Linked DNA regions of Drosophila melanogaster. The protein of the gene in region 1 purifies or fractionates together with the protein of each later gene. This does not show direct contact. Each region holds a gene or a part of one and is shown in the gene's direction. Other genes may lie near its edges.

The links. The genes of interacting proteins can lie anywhere in the genome.
Region 2: the proteins of Past1 (region 1) and jagn purify together in Drosophila melanogaster (affinity purification with mass spectrometry, with the first as the bait; one large-scale study listed by BioGRID). This does not show direct contact.

Annotation. Positions count from the first base shown.
Region 1 is NT_033777.3:12,693,877-12,704,662, forward strand, and holds Past1 (putative achaete scute target 1), read left to right. Parts: upstream 1-3,445; 5' UTR 3,446-3,636; coding exon 3,637-3,662; intron 3,663-3,954; exon of another isoform or gene 3,955-4,234; coding exon of another isoform or gene 4,235-4,242; coding exon 4,243-5,459; intron 5,460-9,762; coding exon 9,763-9,936; intron 9,937-9,999; coding exon 10,000-10,205; 3' UTR 10,206-10,257; downstream 10,258-10,786. Other genes in the region: Arp1 (Actin-related protein 1), read left to right, coding at 1-97; CG14391 (uncharacterized protein), read right to left, coding at 464-871; NijC (ninjurin C), read left to right, coding at 1,495-1,530, 2,247-2,423, 2,848-3,051.
Region 2 is NT_033777.3:5,776,061-5,781,808, forward strand, and holds jagn (jagunal), read left to right. Parts: upstream 1-3,254; 5' UTR 3,255-3,367; coding exon 3,368-3,456; intron 3,457-3,739; coding exon 3,740-4,112; intron 4,113-4,174; coding exon 4,175-4,306; 3' UTR 4,307-5,248; downstream 5,249-5,748. UniProt on the Drosophila melanogaster protein: Required for endoplasmic reticulum organization and proper vesicular traffic during vitellogenesis. Required for oocyte and bristle growth.

The DNA of each region.
Region 1 (10,786 bases):
GATTTTAGCCTCGCTCGATACTTTCAAGAAGATGTGGATCTCGAAGCGGGAATACGAGGAGGAGGGACAGAAAGCCGTGCACAGAAAGACTTTTTAGCCTGTTTATAAGCTTAAACGCCATTTGTAAAAGGCTAATTAAAATGTATATCAAATCCTTGTGTCAGCTAACATGAAGTACCCTATAAATTGAAAAGTAAAATGTGTATGTTTTACGCATCAAGGGCGCAAAGTATTTAAAATGCTATTTATTGAAACTGCTTTCCCAGCCTAGAAAATAAAGTACTAAAATTTATAATTCACTTGCGGATAATTCCTTCCCAGGTTAACTCTTAAACAATAAACCAAGAAATTTCAACAAGCTATTGTATATTTGGATGTACCTAACAGATAGTAATATCTTATTGCTCGAAAGATTTTTTACACTACCGCGGATACATTAGCTATCAAAAAAATTGTACTTTCTTCATCTGAGATAGCTAGTGACGCCAACTTGGGATGTTTGTGACCCCATGGGAATGCTACCACCCAAAAACATGCTCTTGTTCGGAATCAGGGGAAAAACTATGGGCTGCCGGTCCACAGTTGCGGCAATCGCCTGCGTCATCTTGATGACGCTCTGGTCCAGCTTGATTCCGCACTTGCCCTTGTGCAGGTGGAAGAATGCCGGACAGTGGACCTTGCCGTAGGGGTCACGATAGTGATCCCGGTACTTTTGGCACTCCAAATAGAATGTGTCAATCCTGTAGATCTCTGCACGACTTATGGTGGCCAGGTCGACCGCCTCGGGCACGAATTTACGAATCATCTGACGATCTTTTTGGGATTTCTTCGAAACGTCCCAGTACTGAGCCTCTGGTATGGCAAATTCCATGGTTCTTTTTTTTTATAAATCTTTCAACGAAATATATTTAAATTTCTTTTTTAAAACTCCTAACTAAAGCTGTGTGTAAATTGTACTGTTGTGAGAGACTCAGCTCACTGTGATGCAAACCAAAATAAGAAATATAAATAAAATAAACTCAAAATATCATCAAAGACATAAATTAAAGGTAAGAACTGGTCTTTCTACCAAAGGATATATGAGCCATATAGAACATGCTGAATGAAATCAATACATTTTCAAACCACTGCCATTAGTCATGGCTACTCAAAAACACTCTTTCCAGCTTGTAGCACTCTCTTTCTGGCCAAGTATACTGAATGGCCGAATCATTCGAATCGGGTAGTGCTCTCTGGACGGGATTTCTGAATTCAGTTCTCCGCCAGTTGTTAAATCGCTTGGTTGTGTCGGCAACCGTCGCCACGACAACGCCGCTCCAAGCACAAACAATTAGTTGCCAATTTCAGGAGACAATGAAAACCGAAACAACTTGAATTGAATGTTGTTGTGAGTTCTTTTGACTGACACAAAAACTGATCCAAAGTGCAGTGGTGTGTGGCGAAAAACAAAGCTCCAACCGAAAGCAAAACCGAAAAACCAAAGATTCATTCATTATGGCATCAGGTTTGCAGCGGGTTAACGAAAATGAGGTAAGTCAAAATACAAATATCTCATATCTGAAGATATTCCAATGTATTCACATTCCGAGCACCCACCGACCTTGATCTTAGCCATATATTCCTGGTCTTGAATTATTTATTTGTTCGAGCGAATGAGACACACCATCGTGTCCACATCCCCATTTCCATTCCATCCGTAATTGCCAGTCCGGGTAATTATTGTCTTTGTTCCAACTGTTCGTGCAATTCAAAAATGTTGTATATCCGACTCGTTGGCCTTATGCACTTTTAAACTGCGATGAGCTGTGCGAAAAGCATTTGTTCTCATATTGATTTTGTAATTGTTATGGGAATTGCATCCTTTTGTGGTAATTATCCTTGCAGTATGGCTGAATCCTTTGTTTCCCCACAGAAACCAGTAAAAAATGCTTGGCAGGTTAGTTTTCAATGATGTATGCTTTTTATTTACTATGCACATTTGTGTTTGTAACCCTTGCCCTGAATGTTAGCCTATTTTTCATTACTCGGAGCTGCGATGTTCTGTTTTCTTATCGGCACAAGATCTGACACAAATGGCAATAGATAAGGAATTACTTTGAAAGCGATCTTTAAGATTCATTCACTTTTAAAGTGACTGTTGCAGCGCCATCATGACCACTTTCCTCGAAAATGTATCTTTCGGTTCTGCAGACTTTATATCCTGAATTCAAATACTCATATATGTACATATATACCCTATATTTTAGATGAAGGCAATGGATGCCAATAGGTATGCCACCAAGAAGACGATCGCCCAGGGCATGCTGGACATCGCCCTGCTGACCGCCAATGCCTCGCAGCTGAAGTACATCCTCCAGGTGGGCGAACAGCACCAGTTCTACAAGCTGATGCTGATCCTGATCAGTCTGTCCATAGTCATGCAGGTGAGTATATAATCACTGTAGATTCTTATTCTCTAAGTGTCAGGCACAGAGAAAAACATAAATGTGTATCCTAATGAAATCCATCACACTCGGAAAAACTTGGCTAGATCCAAATGACAATATGGAACTGATAGTTATGTTTTTCTCTGTGCAGGTCCTGTCGGGCGTGCTGAGCCTGTCCCTGAGCCTGCTGCGGGATTGCCGGCTGCATCAGCCGGAGTTTCATCAGTCGGCCAATATCATTAACCATGTGCGCACGGGCTTCGCCTTCTTCACGACCATGATCAATCTGTTCATCTCGGCCTTTGACAGTCGATTGCCTCCGCCACAGGGCGACTTTCTAAACAACTAGGACTAGAGGGTGGGCATGGTAGGGATTGTACGCTTCCGTTTCTAATGCATTCCTCATTCCCCATTTTGACAGCTTTTGGTGGGCATTCTGTTCGTGGTCATCGGGAGTCTCAACATAAACAGGCAGCAGGATCAGACGGCAGCGGTCATCCTGAACGATGTCATTTTGGTAGTCGTGTTCATAATATCCGTGGTGAACGTTATCATATCCGGTTTCGGCATAGAGTACTCATCGCAGCCGCTCCGACTTCTCGATCAGCACGAAAAGACACCGTAAAATCTAGAGATCCAACGATTTACACTTATATTCATACAAATATGTACTTTAAGGCTAATGCAAACCTAAGTTGTAGAGGGAAATAAATGAATGTATTGATACCAAGGCATTGCATTTTCTCTTACCTTCGCAAACAGGTGGCTGCTGGACTCTTGCTGGTCATTCAGTCCCTCATCAATATGCATAATACCAAGGATCGAAATCGGGGCTTCGCCATCAACCACTTCATAGATGCCTTCATATTCCTGTCCGTGTTTTGTGACATCATGAAGATGAATTTTGGACTGGATCCGGCGGTTCCTCACACAGATGTGGAACTTCTGAAGCCCTGAATTTTTGAAATCACAGCTGAGGTTAAATTTTGATGAACGACGTAGGCTCAGTGTTTTAAATACACTTGCTTGCCACATTGTATATATAAATTTTTACCAAAAAAAAAGCAAATTTCTATTAAGTGATAATGCTAGCCGCGTTTTAGTGTAAAATCACAGAAACAAAAGATTAGTGCTTTTTAACAGTTGTTTGTTGCATATATTTTGGAAGGCCCGTAAATTTAACGTTTTATTTGCTTACTAATAAATCAAGATGCCACGCCCAGAAGCAGGCGACAGGTGAGCAATCCTATATTTACACAATTTGAATTCGATATAAGTTCGCGCTTGCAAGAAAAGTGTGACCGCCGCGCAAATGTGGACCGTTATCGATAGGCGCCGATTATTTATGTTCATTGTCAATGACAATTTGTTTTAAAGCGAAAAATATAGTACAGGAATAATAGTTAGTTAGTTACGATAAATATGAGTATAATTTCAAAATTAGATTAATTAGTTTAAATTAAGGCCGTTGACGGGCTGGTATTTCTTTGACGCTCTTGGTATATTGCAGTATTTATCCGAAGACTCTGTGGTATTTCTTCGTTGTCTCTGGCGTGGTCACGTTGATTGGTCCGCTATCTGGACCGAAAAAAGTCGTATTCCAAAAATAATACGTATACGTACGCGCGTGAATCACTCGCCACACGACCCAGCGCAGCGCGACAATCGAGTGTAGACACATAACATAACTGCCGTAGTCGTCGCCTCCGTGACATCCGCGCCAGCACCAACCCGAATCCGGCCGCGTCCCCCGTTTCCAAATCCAATTTCCCCTTTAATTTCGGTGGCTAATATTAGAGTCTTGCGACATGTTTAGCTTTCTGAAGCGCGAGAAGAACACCCAGGAGGTAGTGGAGAATGTGATCGGCGAGCTGAAGAAGATCTATCGGAGCAAGTTGCTGCCGCTGGAGGAGCACTACCAGTTCCACGACTTTCACTCGCCAAAGCTCGAGGATCCAGACTTCGATGCGAAGCCCATGATCCTGCTGGTGGGCCAGTACTCCACGGGCAAGACGACCTTCATCCGCTATCTGCTGGAACGCGACTTTCCGGGCATTAGAATTGGTCCGGAGCCAACGACGGACCGCTTCATCGCCGTGATGTACGACGACAAGGAGGGCGTGATACCGGGCAACGCCCTGGTTGTGGACCCCAAGAAGCAGTTCCGGCCGCTGTCCAAGTACGGCAACGCCTTCCTGAATCGCTTCCAATGCAGCAGTGTGGCCTCGCCGGTGCTGAACGCCATCTCCATCGTGGACACGCCCGGAATTCTCTCCGGCGAAAAGCAGCGCATCGACAGGGGCTACGACTTCACCGGCGTGCTGGAGTGGTTCGCGGAGCGCGTGGACCGCATCATCCTGCTCTTCGACGCCCACAAACTGGACATCTCCGACGAGTTCCGGCGCTCGATCGAGGCGCTCAAGGGACACGACGACAAGATCCGTATTATCCTGAACAAGGCCGACATGATTGATCACCAACAGTTAATGCGGGTGTACGGAGCACTGATGTGGTCGCTGGGCAAGGTGCTGCAGACGCCGGAGGTGGCTCGTGTCTACATCGGCTCCTTCTGGGACCAGCCGCTGCGCTTCGACGCCAACCGCCGACTGTTCGAGGACGAGGAACAGGATCTGTTCAGGGATCTGCAGTCCCTGCCGCGTAACGCCGCCCTGCGCAAGCTGAACGATCTGATCAAGCGGGCGCGCCTGGCCAAGGTGCATGCCTTCATCATTGCCGAGCTGCGCAAGGACATGCCCTCTGTGTTCGGCAAGGACAGCAAGAAGAAGGACTTGATTAAGAACCTCGGCCAGGTATACGATCGCATCCAGCGCGAGCACTCCATTTCTCCCGGCGACTTCCCCGACATCAAGAAGATGCAGGAGGTCCTGCAGCACCAGGACTTCACCAAGTTCCACTCCCTCAAGCCCCATCTGCTGGACATCGTGGACAACATGCTGGCCAAGGACATTGCCCGCCTGATGGAGATGATTCCCCAGGAGGAGATGACCATGGTCGCGGACCCAATCGTCAAGGGTAAGTCCCCAAGAGAGTGAATGATTAAGCACCGCTTTGCCGCATTAGTCACACTGCACTTGCTCGGGCAACCAGACATCCGACTCGTGCCCGCGAAGATCTCGAGAAATCTCTTGGTTTTCCGCGGGCATTTCACTGGCGCGTTTTCGCTTTCCCATCGCACCGAAATATTGCGCATGCGCAGCTAGAAAAATGCGCCAGTTAACCCAGATTTCCAGACGGGCCAAAATGCGAAAAAAACGAGTTTTGCCAAGCGGAGTGAGCGGCTTGGCTTCGGATACGGCCAAAGTATGAGCCACAGCTACAGCTAGACCGCAGCCAAACGTATTTAATGGATATACAATTACAATCACAATTCAAATTGCCAGCGAAAAACAAAGCCAGTGGGAGCGATCCAAAAATCGAAGCTTTTCTTTGGCCCGCATGCACAGCTTCCTCTTTTCGCTGACTGGCCAATTATGCAATGCCTGGCAACGACTATATATAAACCCTATACTATGAGCGAAACATATTTGAGCTACTATATAAACAAAGTGATAAGCACCGAAAACTGATAAGACGAGCGAGCAAAAAGTCGGTGTCAATTTAGCGCTTAGGCCAGCCACACAAACGCACTTTCTGTGGCAAACTCAACATCGAGGTGGAAGAAAATAGCGCCACAAAACCACGTATTTTCTTTCCTATCTCTTGCAAATACTCTGCTACCCAAAATGTGATAGCCAATTGCTTTGTACTTGAAAAATGGGCGCCAGTGGCGGGCTGGGGCGTGGCAAACCGAAAAATTTTACTATTCATATGTGTCAATAATTATCGGCTTGCTTTCGTCATGGGTAGGAACTCAGCCAAGTTGACTGTTTTCTCCCCGCAACGTGATAAGATTCGTGGCCATGATGTAATCATTGGAAAATACCGATAGCTTGGAGCAGTGCAGGGTTCGTTCTAATTGGGCCATGAGTCATCAGAGAGGGGAAAAAAGAAAATAATAGCAGGCGTACAGTTGGGCATGATAAATATTTCACACTCGAGTACCCAGGCTGAATCGGATCTGGCTCTCCGGAGCAGACGCATCCAGGCAACCATGACGAATACCACGCACTCGATGCCGAGCCAAAACGCCCAGCAATATAATCGCATTTAAGCGTTGAGCATTCGAGGAGGAGCAGTAGGAGGTGGTAGTAGTAACTCAGTTAATCAGAGTCTAGAGGCGCCAGTCGCATTGCAGTCGGAAAAAAGTAAACCCTAATTGAAAGTCTAATTCGATTCGATGCAAGCTGGCTGCTCCACCGGTTCGCCCTGTTACTGTGACCTCCGACCTTCGTGCGTGGCCCAGAGTTCAAGGCCCAGTGCCGCGCACCTGTTCGCTTTCCCCCATGCATTCGTTAGTGGGTCGAGCCAAAGTGGCCTGTTTGTCAACCCTTATCGGGTTGCTAGGCAACTTCTAGTTGGCCGTACTGCACGTTACCCTAGATAAAAATCAATGTAAGGCCGAGTCAGCATGCCATCATCAAATCATGTCTTATCAGTCGACAAAAGTCTGGGCATGTTCCTCTACTAGCACTGCTCTAATTTCAAGCATCAAGTATGCTCATTTAGTTTGTTTATCTGCTCTTACGCTGTTTAGCGTAATTAGGCAACAAGTTGCGGCTACTGGCCGTGCAATTTTTGGCATATTTCAAACAATAAAAGCCGAAATTATCAGAACTAGTGCATATGTATATTATGAGGGGCTCAAAGGTTGTCCACCGTAAAACTTGTAATTATATTCAGCTTTAGGGATCATTGCTTGCTGAGCAAGCAACTTATATGGAAAGCCAGTAACTAATTTGATTGCTCATTTATGTAATCATCCGTTTTGCATGCACAAACCTTTTTTTATCGTGCGAGTAGAAGGCACTGTCAGCATTCTCTTGCCATTTATCAATGCTCCTTATCATGCCAGCTAATGGTGTTGTGCCCAATGAAACACTATAAAACTACAACGGAAAGGCGTGTGATTGGATTAATTCAGTATACAAAGCCGCCAGACAAGGAGAACGAAAATAATTATCTTCCAATATGCCAGGCAACTTAGAATTGGAATAGTAAATATACATATGTATATATACATTCCAATATGTGCTGCCTCCGAGGAGGAGAGATTGTCGTCCAGCTGATCAAACAGCACCCAGAATAATCCCCACGCCCAGTTCGCCCAGACGATCCCTGGTCAACCCATCGCCACAACCCACCTCTGGCGATTATATACATATGTACGTATATATGATCTGTAAACCGAACCGGTTGCAGTCGCATACGAGTACATGTATTGCTGGCGTTGGCAACCTGAGGCCGCGTATCAATTTGATGCTCTCCGATTGTGACTTGGGGCGTGTGGCACTAAGTGGCTCATCCTCCGTCTAATCCGCTCGTGAATTCCACGAAGGGGCCCACGGAATTCAGATGAACTAGCGCTAAGTGCAGGAAGAAAGCATTTTACTCTATGATATACGGCTCGGTGGCAATCCAGTCGCCACAATGCTATTGTCTGATCTCTACTGTTTGCCTTTTGGTTTGCTGACCACTTGAGTGGCCTTTTAATTCAACTATTAGCGTATTTTGGCCTGACCTTGTGCGAAAGTATTCCACATAGCCGAGCAAATACGTTTCGCTGGGGCAAATCCAAGCATAATACGATTGGCGATCGACTGATGTCATGGGTGGGAGATCAATATCTCAACGCATGTGTCATCCATCCGCAGTCTCGGTCACCTCGACATTCGATTTGGGTAAAATTCGATAGCCCCCTCCTTTTAAATTGGACCCGACAAGTGAATGAACTTCTCGTTTATTATTACACCAGAAGGAATTTCGATGGTTGTACCCCTGAAAAAGAGAGGCGGAATGCGTTGATAAAGCGAACCGAATCGAAATCAAAGTCAAGAACTTGGGGCTCTAATTTAGTGCATGGGCGAGTGAGTGAGTGAATGAGTGTATGTATCTGTATCTGTATCTCTGATTTTATTTTCGTTGCGTTCGCTGCACAGTTTGCTTTCATTTGCTAGCATTTCCGTTGTATTGTCTTGGATAATTGACTTGGCTAGCTCAGCCAGCAAGATAAGTGCTTTGGGTAGTGATGTCTTCATAGTTTCGGTTGATTTGACAATGGAATTGACACTCCATTCGAAATGGAACTTATGTGGACCGTGCCTTGAGTCACTGCCTCCACCGTCACCATCACTTCATCACCAGCACATCTTGAATATGGGGATCGGCATCACATGTTTAGCAGTATGTCGCTAAATAGTTGTACACATATCTGACACGATCTTGCAGAAATCAGTTCTTCTGTTCGCCGTTCTTTTGGTTCTTCGTACTTTTCGTTTTCGCCATTGGCCCACTAATTAAACTCGGTTTGATTTCCACGTCCGAGTCGCACTGCCGCACTTAGCAGTTGTGCTATGCTCCACTGTCAACCATCTTTCTCTCTATTTCTTGCATACCCAAGTGGACTCCGACGACGATTTCGATGTGGCCGACGAGCCAGCTCTTCTGACACCCGGCTCGCAACGGGAGCAGTTCGCGGAGCGCTTCGATCGCTGGCTGCAGAATCTGCGCCAGCAGCAGCTCCGCCTGTTCAGCAGTTGCACTAGTCGGGTGGGCAATGTCGAGAGCGATAAGGATGCCGATCCCGGTCCAGAAACGCAATCTATGCCTCAGGCAGAGCTGGAGCATGAGTCTGGCTCTGACTTCGAGTTAGAAACCAAACCAGATCCTGATCCTGAAGTTGAAAATGAGGCGGAGCCGGAGACGGGGACAGGGACTGATATGGCCGTAAGCAACACGCACAGTAGTTGATTCCATAAGTCAGTGGCACCGATTGAATATACAGTATTGATTTACTTAGAATAATGGAATGGGAACTCAATGATCTCCAAGCCATGCCACCCGGAGGGCCCTTTTCAATTGCAAAGAGACCGCAAACGAATTGAGCAACTTCAAAAAGTTAATTGAGATCGCACTTTACAACCTGCACCGCCCATCTCAATTGCCCCCCCCCAGAATGCACTGCACCACAATTGCCCAGTTAAAGTAGCCGGCAAAGTACATGCTTAAGTCGGTCAGCCGGCCTAGTCACGGAACGGCGGCGGCGACGTCAATTGGAGCCAGAGCGATCTAAAGGTTTTAATTGCCTCAAATTGAATGTTTGTGCACGGCGACGCACCGATCAACTTAGATTACATGCTTAATTAATGCAAATTTATGGCGCACACAGAGTATCGAATGCCACACTGACCTCTCCATCCATTCATCGCCTCTTCCACAGGTGGTGCCTTCGAGGGAGTCATCGACGACCATGTCTCACCATTCGGCTACATGAAGGGCGAGGGCATCGATGCCGGCTACGGAGAGCACGAGTGGATCTGCAACAAGGACAAGCCGCGCACAGATGGCATCTTCAATGGGCTGGGACCAGTCGATGGCAAGATATCCGGTGCAAGTAAGTTTGTTATAACTCAAGGGGAAAATCGAAAACAATAATCCCATTCTTCGCCACTTGCAGCTGCCAAGCAGGAACTCATCAAATCGAAACTGCCCAACTCGGTGCTCAGCAAGATCTGGAAACTGTCGGACGTCGACGGCGATGGGTTCCTGGACTCTGACGAGTTCGCGCTGGCCTTGCACTTAATCAACGTCAAGCTGGAAGGCTGCGAGCTGCCCACCGTGCTGCCGGAGCACTTAGTACCGCCGTCGAAGCGCTATGACTAGTGTCCTGTAGCATACGCATACGCACACCCGATCACACAGCCTCACAATTCCCAAAAAAAAAAAAAAAACACAGCCGTACACAGATGTCGCATAGAGACCAACTCCTAGGATGCACTATGTTCGATTCTTTTGACTTTTAGCCACACAGTGCAGGCGACTGCCCTTTTATATGTACTATACTCGTTGTGAACGCGCCATTAATGCGCTGGGTATTAAAACACACACCGTATCACCGTATGACCGACCGTATGAGATATCAATCATAAATTCGTAGAATTTACACAAGCATATAGCATATTTTTGGATAATCGATTGTAAAGCAGGATGTAGAGTAGCAGCCTAGTGGAATAAGACAAGGAGTGTGTGTTAAGCGCCTAATTGTCATTGTTGACTTAAGGAAAGTGAAGTGTGGATAAACAATTGTTCAATGCCAATGAAAAAAGCATGAGTTAAACTGTATACAATATCTAGGTTAATGTCGATGTGCAGCTTGAAGGGCCATTAATTTGCAATCGTACCACTTTTGATACACAATAAATGTATTTTTGTTATACTACAAATTTACAATCGACGGAATCGTG
Region 2 (5,748 bases), 6.9 Mb from region 1:
ATTGAGTCCCCATACAATCCCATACAGAAGCATAAGCACTGCCACTGCTACATCCACGATGACCGCGCAGTTTTGGGGGCTATTTGCATGGGGACACCTATTTTTAGCTAGACAGTGGAGCAATGACTCTTTTATGCCCCGCGAGTGCGAATATGCCATTGGTAGCAAGCCGAACTGATTTTGATCGTTCTTGTGCCCTATAAGGATCAGGATCATCCAATCTAGGTTTCTTTAATACTAAAGAGCTGTATGCTCCGTGGTGACCTGTGCCACCTACGAGTATAGCCTTAGTTTGTTCTGCCGGCCAAAAGGCCATTCCAACTACTGAAGAACATACATACTCGTACATGGATTTGAGACCACCGAGAGCTGCCCTTCAGAAACACACACACATTTGTGCGGCGGGTGTAACCATGCCCATAGGAGGCAATCGGTCTTGTGATAGGGAACACTTCCGACGACCTTGATCCGAGCACAATTTGGCCCCACTCATTAAGGCGATGTGCACAACGTACGCGAGTGTTTCAGATTAATTAAAGCAGTCGGGCCAAGCCAAACAGCGTCACCATCAGCCGAGAAATACCGACTGGCTGTCTGAGCCCCGCCACCCACGGCCATTGGTACCTAATCAGATATGTATGTATATCGATGCTACTGGGAATTTGACTGTGCCTGGGACTGTTGTTTCTACTGGGAAAGTGTCATGGCATGGGTGAAACACATTTAACGCCTCGAGCCATAAATTACGAGCCGTGCCAGCAGCAGTGCTGACAACATAAATCTGAATTAGTGGCAAGCGGGGCAGCAAGCAACAAACAAAACCGAGTATCGATCTCACGATCCGTGGTCACTTAATGCCGGTACCTCGTAAATGGTATTCATAACTCTCACCCGCTCCACCAGGGATTCGGCGCGGCGCGCGAAGGAGGCGCGTTTATCGGCAATGGACATGGTTGGACTGGGGCTCTGGATGCGGTTCAGGATCGGTGACTGGGACTGGGCTATCCGGAAGATACTGGGAACCGACAAGTCACGCGGGGGTGTAGGTATCACCGGGGAACGCAGCTGAAATGAAAAGAGGCAGAACTTTAAACAGGCTGTTATCTATCTAAGGCACACGATCGATATGGTTTTAAGTCTGTAATAACTAAGCAAATATCGCACGGCACACGCTAAGTCGAATCATATGCAAATACAGTGGACATCAACAAGACCCAATACCAATACCAAATACTAGTTGCTAGTGCAAGTACAATCTATGCAGGAGCCATCTTGCTAGCCGAATTCCTTTTATTTCTATTCTTAGGGTTAACCAATTGGTTTATAGTTCATATAGCATTATTTGCCAAAAAAAAAAAATATATATATATATAATGGCAACATTCGAGGTGGAGGTCCCGGCCCCAAAAGTCATGAAATCTGCCGCGTATGTGTTTTCATTTTTGGCGAAAACAAAGAAAGACTCGGCGATGAAATGCAATTAATATGCAAGTGCCACTCATTGTGATGGTACTATTCTGGTCTATTACCTTATGGACCGAATCGCAATTATGGCGCAACTTCAACTTTGGACTCGAAAGTGTCAGCCACCGAGCTCAGCATAAATATTCGAGCGGAAATTATCAACAACTGACATTAAAATCGGAGCGGGAAAGACGCGACTTTCGGCCGGAGACGATCGCATGCGATGAAAACGCGTCCAAGTCGGAGGAATACCGCCGTAGAACTGATGACACACCCGGGCCGAATGCTCGACTTTTGTAGCGTAGCGAGCATAAAGAGAGTGCGTTGAAATGGGAAATTCATTATTTTATTTTTAAACGTCGTCGCCCTCTCTATTTTCGCAGATTGGCTTTTCCTCGCTTGTTTCTTGTTTCGTGGCAGATTGATTTATGGATTTCGGTGCAACAGGTGCTGGCCAGTTGACAGAGCGCCGAAAGTCCGCCGGACACACCCACTGCTTCCAATCTGGAAAACTGATTGGGACACAAAGCTGCATCCAATTTGCATAATCCCATCAAAGAGCACTTGCACCCAATTATGATAATTTCGGCTTGACGCACTAGGCATTATTGGCTTCGAAAAATTGGAACTGCAGTTCAAATTCAAAAACAAGGTACGGAGAAACTAAAACAAGAGGGAACGCTACAGGCGAGTTCCCCGACTATTAGATACTCCTTTCTCTGCTAGTGAAAGTTCAAACATGAATTTCAACATTTTCTGACATAGCAATAAAACTAAATTAATCTCTCTTATATATGTAGTTCCTGAGATCTCGACGTGCATACGGACGGACATGGCCAGTTCGATTCGGCTAGTGTTCCTTACCAATATATGCTTTATTGGCTCGAAAAACACTTCCTTTCACCTGATACATATTCGTTGAAAAAGGAATCTAGAATACTTCTTTTTTAATCTACGAGTAATATTTTTCATCGCGACCCGTTCATTAATCATTAATCATTACTAAATCTTACTAGTTCTGCCATTTGGTCTATAAGACATATTGGAATTGGAATGCAATTCAATTCATTTTAGTCTAGCGTTTGTACTTTTAGTAGAAATAATTCTCATATGGATGGAAGATTTCAATCGGAGTATTAAAACCAGCCCTCATTTTCTAAAATCGTGCAAAAAAGATATGAAAATTAAAGTATTAAGTGCCATTAATGCCATTAAGAATAGGTTTGGTTTTATTTTTCACCAGCCCACTTTTCAGATTAGCAATGCTAAACTCTCAGCATTACCTTTAAAAAATCGTTCTCATTTGCGACTAGTTCGAATATCTATCTACATTCTGCCGAAACTAACTAGAGAAAAACTGAAGTTCTACGTATGTAAGTATAACACATTTATTCTACACAGCATTAGCGAGGTTACACACCTAGCGAAGTCATCCTCCCAATTAAAATTTCCCTAAGCGGAGCTAGTCACCACGACCACATTGCCACTTTATTAAAACTAATAACTGTTTAATAACTGTAATAGAATAAGTTAAAATAATTAAATAATATGACTAATCACGTGTTGCTAATACAGTTAAAAGGCTAATTATTTAATTTAATTAATGTTTTGTAAACAGTTTCCATGCAGATGTATTAATAGTTTCCATGGCAGACTTTCTGAAAATGAACATTCTAAAACTTAGCGGAATTTCCCCTCTCTTTCTAACGGTTATTTGCTATGCTTTCAAGCGAAAGTAATCGATGGTAGCGAGGAGCGTATCGATGTGCGCCAGTTTTTTGGTGGCAGCGATGGTATCGCACACACATCGATTCTAGTGCCAGCCCTATTTTTTGTGCAATTATTTATTAAAAATAAGCAACGACGTGAGCGAACGACACGACCCACGAACGAAGGCAACGAAATGGCAACGCGCGGCGGACCAATGGTCGCGGGCACCGATGGCAACGACTTCGAGTTCAGGCAGCGCGTAGCTGGCACATATCAAATTAGGTTAATAACACTTCGTGCTATCGCCAGCTCTCAGCTACACTCGAAATTATCTAATTACTGGGGCGCCTGTGGCAGTAGATCCACCTGCAGGCGGCACCTACTGCAGCCGAATCGCAGGTGGCGTCCAGCCAGGGCGGCGGAGCACCCTGGAGCTGCTGCACCCACCCACTTGCTGCTGTAGGGGGCGGGTGGGCAAAGTGCCAGCTGGGCAGCATGTGCGCCCCAATATGGGGCTCACCCACACAGATCCGCCACTGAACGACCACTTTCTCTGCTCTTTTAGCCTGCTGAACAAGTCCAGGTTGAAGTACTGCATCTTCTTTCACGCCCTGCTGTTCTTCGTGATGCTGGCCAAGCTGACGTCGGACATTCTGGACCACCTGGATATCTTTGTGCTGGAGATCGAGGAGCTGGAGGTCCCACCGCCCCTGTGGTGGGAGTACGTGTGGGCCGCGTCGTTGCTCACCTCCTTCCTGGGCCTTTCGGCCGCCAGGGGCAACAAGGTGCGCGAAATGCAGAAGTATATGGTGGCCATACTGCTATTCGCCATCCTGCCACTCTTCTACTGCTTCGCCTACTACTTCTCGGACGTGTGGGAGTTCGCCACGCTGGACAAGTCGGTGGAGCTGGACGAGACAGACATCTTTGTGTGGCGCGTAAGTGGCTGGGCCAGTTAATCCCTCAAGAGCCGCCCTACTAAACCTCGGTTTTTCTACAGGGTTATCCGTACGGCGTCTTCTGGTATGCCTTCTGCTTTGTGGGCTTCCAGGTGCACGGATTTACGCTGTACTTCGCCTACAACCTGGTCAAGGCCTGGAAGGCCAGAACTGCCACGCGCAAGTTCCAGTAATCTAAATACTCGCCAAACTAGTAAACGCCGGAATGCAGGGCTAGTTGTAAATAATTTGGAAACTTGAAACTAACTCAAAACACTAGTGCACAAAAGCGTAATGAAACTATGGTAAACTAAAGTTATGCAGCTGTTAAGGTATCGCACACTTAGTCATACAGGAAGGGAAACATATGGTCGAAACTGAGCGAAGCGTCGGCGGTAAGGTTATTGTTAGTTGAAAGTTAGTTGATACCGTTTTCAAATTGATTAAATAGACTCTTATCCATATACACATGTACACCTATACACATAGACATACATATATACACACATACGCAGCCTTGTGAGGTCAACTAAAGACAAGAAGCAACTGAAGCCACCAAATTTCCCCGAGTCGGAATAAAAACTGAAAACCAACCTAGAGATCACTTCATTTTTGCTCACTTACATTTCGACGTGCCTCGTGTTTGTTAGAAACGTTTTATATATATATTTACACATGAAAATATGCGTACATCAGTTTATGTTTGCGTCCACGGATGGTTACTTCCTCGCCTAGTTGATAATTAGTTCACTTTTCTACAAATTTCGAAACCGTTTCATTTTTGCCAGTACGTTAATTTTGAATTTTATTCATCGAACCGCACAGTGCCATGCTTTAAGGCGTCTGGCCGGGTGCTGAACGTTTGAGAACTGCCCCAAACTATTTACAACCTTCTGTCACTGTTTACACACTACTATAAATAAGGATTGAAATGCAATTTGAGTGTTAAAGCAAAGTTCTTCAATTTCTGATCGTCAATAATACTGTGTAATGACAGGCATGTCGCCAAACTAAACTGAGAATTGAATTTTAATGTAATGATGTTTTTTAAATCGTAATTTATTATTCGAATTTTTAAGTAGTTTTTTAAAAATCGATCAATAAAGATGCATATATATTTGTTCTTCTGAGTGGGTTAAACATAGCATTTTATTGCGGTTGATTTAAAACAAATTTTGATAAGTATACCTATTAAGTCACTTAATGTTTATATGCTCATCTACAATATTTATCATAACTTTAAAGAGGCAAATACAAGTTCTCAAGCTTTATTTCTTGAAAAACACCACCAAATAAGGACCTTCGCCCAAAGCAATACAATCCAACACAACCCCACAGGCCGTTGCAATGCGGCTGGCAGGCCGAATTGGCCACAACAATCCAGTTTTAGTGACCATTTGTGCATCGAGGCGAGTGGAGGAGCAACAGCAGGCGAGCATTGCGCAATTGTTTACAATTGGCGACGGAGAGCCAGGAAGCTGAGACAGAGAGAGAAAAAGCTGTGGCGGAGAGCCAAAGCTTTTCCGCAGCATCCTTTTCTCCCTGCTCCGCCCGCTCTCTTAATTTTCCATTTGTACATTGCCTGTGCGAAGAACGGATGCCGAATTTTCCAACACACCATTTCGGACCGAAGTAA